2 linked regions of the Oryzias latipes genome follow. The protein of the gene in region 1 purifies or fractionates together with the protein of each later gene. This does not show direct contact. Links are inferred from orthologs where the notes say so. Each region holds a gene or a part of one and is shown in the gene's direction. Other genes may lie near its edges. The genes, in order: xab2 and aqr.

Region 1 (3,460 bases):
GCAAATAGTAAACATACATTACTAATTGCCATCTTTAGCAATTAGTCTTGGTTGATGTGGAATCTTTTGAGATGTGTATAGTGGGGAAAAAAAAGCCTCAGATGAAACTCCCTATTATTTAATACAATACAAATACAAATTTTTTGTGTTTTCTTTCGTTTACTTTCTTTCTAGATTATTAACACTTTTACAGAGGCTGTGCAAACTGTGGATCCAATGAAAGCCACTGGAAAGCCACACTCGCTCTGGGTGTGTTTTGCCAAATTCTATGAGGAGAATGAGCAGCTGGATGATGTAAGTCACTGAGAGTTCTTTCTTCTCCAGTCAGTTTGAAAGCAGTTTTAAACTTTCTTTAGGTTATCTGCTAACTGGGTCTCAAATGTTGGTTTTAATGAACATTATGTACAAAGATTATACATAAACTAAGGTTTTAAAATCTGCTAATGCTTGGTGATATTGATGCAGTGACATTGATGCACTGCAGATTACTCTGTCTTCAGCACACAGGGATTACCAAATTATATTTTCTTTTGTAAAACATTTACTGTAAGAATCAAATGGGTTTTACTTGAAACAGATTTCAAACTTCATGGTGGATAGAGTTTGCACTTATCTCTGCTGTACTGTGTGCTTACTAATTTTAGGCAAGAACAATTTTTGAGAAGGCTACCAAAGTGAACTTCAAGCAGGTGGATGACCTTGCTGCAGTTTGGTGTGAATACGGCGAGATGGAACTTCGTCACGAAAACTATGATCAGGCACTCCGCATACTGAGGGTAAGACACTCGTATCACAAGAAACATGCTTGTTTAACGTTTAGTTTGCATAATCTCTCAAGTTCCTTATTTATGAAAAAAAAAACGTTAGTGTCTCTGAACTAGGCCTGCACAAGAAAACGCAAATTTACCATTATCGGAATATCAAGCTGTTTAATACGCATATTGCAAATGGTGGCGAAAATTGCAATAAATGGTTACCTTAAATGTGCTAAAACGATCTTATGACATCGTGAAGTATTTAACAAATCAAATAGATCTATTTATCCATTTGACCAATCAGATGGACGCCTTCAGGTTTTTGACCAATCAGATCAGGGGTCGGGAACCTATGGCTCGCGAGCCATATATGGCTCTTTTGATGGTCACATGTGGCTCGCAGACAAATCTTTAATTATAGTTTTTTTTTTTCATTAGACCAGTCCTTCTCGGGCGCGATGCGATGTCAGAGGCGCGCAGTAGTAGCGGTGCTTAGAGAGACAAATCTGCGCCAGCGCTATCAGTTACTATTATCTATTATTTCACAGAGTTTGTACCAGCTGGAAACCTGTGAATTGACGTGCCTAAAACTGCGCGCTCCCGTCTCTGAGAAAGAGCGCGCAGATGCGGGGACGGGATGTGTGAGGGAGAAAGCAGAGGGTGGGGCTGAGGTGTTGTGGGGACAGGCAGCAGGTGAATCGCGCAGGGATTGTAAAAACGTAAAACCCGCTTCCCGTCACTCACTGCAGCGTGTGAGTGTGTGTTTGACTCCCCGTCTGCATGTGAGCAGTCTGTCTCACATCTATAGAACATTCAGACCTACGATGACGTTTAAAGTCTCAACGCCTGAACGAAGCAGAAACTCACCACGTATCAACCAGACTAGACCATCAGCAAAACTACCACGAGAAATACTCATCATTTATTAGCAACAGAATAACAATGTTATTAAAAAGAATCCACAGACTTATTTTACTTTAAAAATGTTAAAATTAAATCAAATGCACACATTCATTTGTATATTTAGTTTTAAACAAATTGTCGCGGACTGAGTTGGATGGCTGTTGGGCCGCGTTAAAAGTTCTGGAGTTCATTGAACGCGTCAAGCAGAGATCTGATTGGCTCTCAGTTCTGTCGCTCAGCCTGTTGTTAGGTAGTTTGGACCAATGGGGTTCAGCTATGGGCCGAATAAGGGAAATGGGAGGGCTGCAGCGGGAGCAGGGGAATATAAAGTTGGGAGAAGCGCTCTCGTCTCGGTGGGAGAGATTCAGGAGTTGCTGAATTAATTGAAGGGCGTTTGTTGCGGTCTGCAGTAATCGGAATAAAGAACTTTAAAAGAGGTTAAGTCTCCGTGCCTCAGTGTGGGGAAAGGACACTACATTATTGTATGGCTCTTTCGAAATTAAATTTCAAAATATGTGGCATTTATGGCTCTCTTGGCCAAAAAGGTTCCCGACCCCTGAATCAGATGGAGCTATTTTATGTTAGATGTTCGCCTTCTATGTAGACAAGGGTCATTTGGGGTATAATTTAAGTTATGTTTACTCTGATTTAAATTAAACAGTTGCAGTGAAAATGAAATGATAATTTTGGTTGTTTTGCTATTTGTTCATGTACCGCAAGTTATATCGTCATCACAATATTGATCACTAATATTGCATGTCATGTGTTTTCCTCACATCGTGCAGCCCGAATCTGAACAATAGATACAAGTGAATTATACTCTTGCAAAAAAATTTTCACTGCTATGAAACAGAGCATCAATGACAATGAACGGTGTTGCTACAAGCACGTTATAACCATACGTTTTGCACCATCTAGTGGCAGAGTTGAGAACTGCATGACACAGCTTTGTAGTTGGGTAACCCTTGTGCTATCCTAGGCACTTTAGCATTGGGAGTTGGGTCATCTAGACCCCGTAGACAGTGCGCTGAAGCTTTTTTTTTCATTGATTTGTTATCTTCACTGGTGTCCATGGATTTCATGAAATCTTTCCACCTTTATCCACCTTTGTCATGGTAGGGAGAACACATCTATGTAAGGGTGGGGTCATCCCATGTTCCTTTTTTTTTTTTGTTTATTTCAAGTAATGTCATCACGGAAAGCTTTTCTTGATGTTTGGTCAATTAAATAGTTTAAAGTTTTAAATACTAGAATTTATTACTCAAAAGAGATATTGTTTTTTTTTATTTAGTTATTGGGGAATGTTTCCTCACAAATTACACATTTTTTATGTCTTGAACAGAATTTGGAAAAAGTTAACTCCAAAAATATGCATTAGTGGCCCCACGGATTTTTTATTTTTTCTATTGCATTTAAAATGTCTGAATATTTGTAGAAAGCCACAGCCATCCCATCAAAGAAGGCAGAGTATTTTGATTCATCTGAGCCGGTCCAAAACCGAGTCTATAAGTCCCTGAAGGTTTGGTCTATGCTGGCAGACCTGGAGGAAAGTCTCGGCACCTTCCAGGTTTGTTCATTGTATGTTTTGAGAAAAATATATTCTAAAATCCAAAAGTGTCTAGTACAGTTTAATTGCTAAGTGTGTACCTAGATCTGGCTGTCTAACTCCTCTTTGGCTTTTTTTACAATCCCTCCCACAGTCTACAAAAGCAGTATATGATCGCATTATTGATCTCCGCATCGCCACTCCGCAAATCATCATCAACTATGCCATGTTCCTGGAAGAGCACAATTACTTTGAG
Region 2 (3,827 bases), on another chromosome or scaffold:
TGCAGTGCTTCTCTTGGCAGGTCGTTTGTATCCTTAACAGCTGCATCAGACCTCAAAGAAACACACGTCTCAATTTAAAATCTGCTGCGATAGCCTGCTGCCCTTTGATTGTATGCCATAAAAGCTTGTAAATAATTTAGTTCAGACTTTTATTAGGGGCTGAGGTGCATTAAAATTTGTCACATGCTGTGCTTTTGGAAAAATCCCATGACTGCATTTCATCTTTCTTCTTGTTCTATGCAGGAGGTTGATTTGATCAGAGAACAGGTACAGCAGCTCGTCTCCCTGCCAATGTGGATGTGCCTCTTACCAGTAAGCTCACATTTTCTAGTTACCGCCCTATGTTCTGGTTGTCATTCCACATCCCAATCTTGTGTTCTTTCAAATAATATTGTCTTGTGTGTATTTATTGTTTAACACTGACTTCTTCCCTGTTTACTAATTCTCCAAAAAATTGGATTCTTACATTTTTTTGCATCATATTTGCAGTCTAGGCTGCAGCAGGAGCTGAAAAAAGTCCCAAAGCTGCAAAAGTTCTGGAATCTAATCAAGAAGAAATTTGACCAGATGGATGCTGATGCGGCTAAGCAGTAAGCCTGTTTTTTGGGTGTTTTGAATCAAATCTACGCCAATTTAAGTTTGCTCTTTATTGTTTGTATTTTGATAATTCTGATTTTTTTGTATCTTCTCCAGGGCAATCAAAGAAAGGACCTTTCTCTCAGCTCTCATTAAAAAGTTTCTCGGCGTTCTCATGTCAGTTCCACCAACAGGTAAATAAATGTGTTTGGTTTGGGGGGGAAAAAGCATAAATGCACAAATGGAAGATGGAAAATTAAATAAAAAAGTCCTTGGAAAATATTAGTTCAGCACTTCAATTCAGATTTAGGTGTTTATGTGATTTTTTCAGCTTTATTCCTGTATTTACCATTACCTTGATATCCAAACTAAATGTAGTATTGCATTCCAAAAACTCACACAACTGGGTGTATGCACTTTTTTTCTGCACTGGGGTACTGGTGAGGGAAACATTTTGGCAGTTTAATCCCCCAATCCAACCAACTAATGCTGAGTTAATGCTTAAGGTGGGATTGAGTCCCATTGTTACCATCTTTGATATGGCATGACCGGGAACTCAAACCCTCGATCTTCTAGCCTTCGGGCAGACACTTTACCTCCAGGCCACTCAGCTAATGTCTACTTTTTCTTATAATTTTGTCGCCTTGCTTTGAGTCGTGCAGCAGCTTAAGAAACATGCACTCCAGCTTCTATACAGTTAAATGCGCTGGCCGTGATGCCGTGATACAGGCCGACACACGAGTCCCCCCCATCAGAATGCTAAAAACTGAGTGTTTAGATAAAATTCAACCTGACACTCTTGATTACAAGCAAAAACCCAGCAGGGTCAGCATCACTCTATTGGCTTGCTGTATGTCTCCACGTTAAGTGCGCACACACAGAGACACACAGAGAGGAACAGGAATGCTTAATGAGGGCTGAGCTCCCAGCATGCTGCTGAGCTGGCCGTGCAGCCTCTCATTGTGAGAGCTCATCCACTTAGCAAGGCAGGTTGGTGTTTTCTTCATGTTTGCTGGCTTCAGATTTTTTGGAAATGTTACCATCTAGCTTCCTGACATTTTGGGACAGTCTATTACTCATGTTTCGCACTTTAAATGAACAACATTGTGTATCTGAAGTAAAATCTTTTTCATGTCTGTTTACCACAGGGCCTCTGTCAATGGACAAAGTCCATTATTGTGAAAGATTCATTGAGCTCATAATTGATTTGGAGGTAAGACAGATTTTTAATTTGAACTTTACATCCCACTCTTGGTTTTCACTCAACTAAAGTTTATATGTAAAAACTGAGATCATGTCCACTGACATTATGTCTAGAATCAGTCATGAACAAAGTAATACGTCATTACTATGGTGTTAGTACAGGTGTTTTAGAATTTAATCATCGTTTACCTTTTAATTTCACTCTAATCAAATTTTTGTCACAGGGTGTTTGATAAATGTCAAATTCCAGCTCCTACTGAGGGCAATGTCTGGGGAAATGGGCTTTGGTTTATTGCCTAGTTCTATTTAGAAATAAAAGTTAATTAATTCAAGTTTTAGTTTGAATTCATATTAGCAAGAATATAAGATAATCATTTATTTTGAAAGATTTTTTTAGCTCCTAGCCATTCCCCTAAAAAGATCTACAGTCAGAAAGGCGCAAAATGTTCTGATGGTGAGTTCTTTTCTGTCAAATCAAACTTTTGTTTCTGACCAACGACTGTCAATGAAAGAAAACATGAAACATAACCCATTGGGTATGAAGTCAGTCTTTGGTTTTGTCACCATTTTGGGAGGATATATCTCAGTAAAACACAACCTTTCCTCTAATCGGTGACTAAATGGGAGAACCAAGCCAAAAGGCTATTGGAGCACACCAAGAACGACTGTTGTAAAGAGATATTATCCATGTTTGATTGTGTTTTGAATGTGAAAATGATACCAAATGATTAGCCTATGACAAATTTGCCCCTATTAAAGTTTACATCTATGTTAAACCTATCCATAGAGATAAAAAAACAATAATGGTGCAAGACTGTTAGTCATTAAGAGTGAATGAGAACTGACCTACTGGTTCAAAACCTCCTATAGGGATTAGTTACTCCACCAGGATGAAGTTAGTTTATGTTTTATATCTGCCTCAAACAGGAAGTTATGGGGATACGTCATTTTTAGGTTAGTGATTGTTGTGTGTATCTTTTTAATTTGTTGGAAATGAATAATTGTAGATATCAGTGTTTTACATTTAGCAAAATCGTGCCGACAGTCTTAAAATAAAGATATAAAGTTGTGTTAAAAAAAGACGGGAATGGAGAACAGTCAAGCCTTCAAATGAGGTTGTTGTGAAGACATGTTGTGCCACAAGACGATCATTTCTGCTGCCTTAGCAGATCAAATCTGTCTAACACAGACGCTCAATAGATTTCATCTGGCTCTTTGCTGACAGGTTAGCCTTGCAGTTCCTGCCAGCAGCTTGTGGTCAGCTAGCCTACTGTCTCCAGAGACTTTTCATGTCCTTCAGCACTATCCTTTCACAAAGCCTCAATCGCAAGAAATCCATACTTCCCATTCTGACGAGAATCTAAATATGATTGCAGGGAAAAGGATCCTATTCCGTCCGAAGGGTTACACTCAAAGGTGGCTTATAGATATTGAATTATTTGATTTATAGTTAGGGATGCAGGCGCTGCAGCTGCTGTCTTTAAAAGGCAGTTTTGAATCATGAAGCTGAAATGTATATCTTTCGGTTGGGAATCTGGCTGATTCTTTTTAAATTTACTATGATGTGCTGTGTTTTCCTCTCATAAATGGGGTTGACTTGCTGAAAAACTTGGTAATTGTTAAGTCAGTTGCTTTGTTTTACCCTTCCTGTTTAAAATGTTGGTGAAAATGCAATTAATTAGTTTTTTAAATGGCTTTCTTTCTTACAAAAGCATTCGTTCATGTCTGCTCAAAAGTACAAATGCTATGGCCTCCCTGTGTTTCCAGGCGCTGCTGCCCACCAGACGATGGTTCAACACAATGCTGGACGACTCTCATCTTGTGGTCAGCTGCCAACTCTCTGGCCTCCTTAAAAGAGAAACGGAGGGCCACCTCTTTTGTCAGGTAAAACAAGCTTTTAGTGACTTTGAAAACCTGTTTTCTCCGTGAAGAAATCCTAATTGGTGTTATTTGTTCTTTTCAGCTTCTCGACATGCTAAAGTTTTACTCTGGTTTTGAGATCAATGATCAGACAGGAAATGCTCTTACGCAGAAAGAAATGACCACGT

What was found.
Region 2: the proteins of xab2 (region 1) and aqr fractionate together in Homo sapiens (co-fractionation; 3 studies listed by BioGRID and IntAct, with this or other methods). This does not show direct contact. The link is inferred for Oryzias latipes from reciprocal best matches to the Homo sapiens genes XAB2 and AQR.

What each region holds. Positions count from the first base shown.
Region 1 is NC_019866.2:8,752,045-8,755,504, reverse strand, and holds part of xab2 (pre-mRNA-splicing factor SYF1), read left to right. Parts: intron 1-174; coding exon 175-294; intron 295-644; coding exon 645-776; intron 777-3,093; coding exon 3,094-3,225; intron 3,226-3,358; coding exon 3,359-3,460. UniProt on the Homo sapiens protein: Involved in pre-mRNA splicing as component of the spliceosome. Involved in transcription-coupled repair (TCR), transcription and pre-mRNA splicing.
Region 2 is NC_019880.2:7,476,679-7,480,505, forward strand, and holds part of aqr (intron-binding protein aquarius), read left to right. Parts: intron 1-243; coding exon 244-312; intron 313-489; coding exon 490-590; intron 591-693; coding exon 694-770; intron 771-1,724; coding exon 1,725-1,789; intron 1,790-3,546; coding exon 3,547-3,663; intron 3,664-3,742; coding exon 3,743-3,827.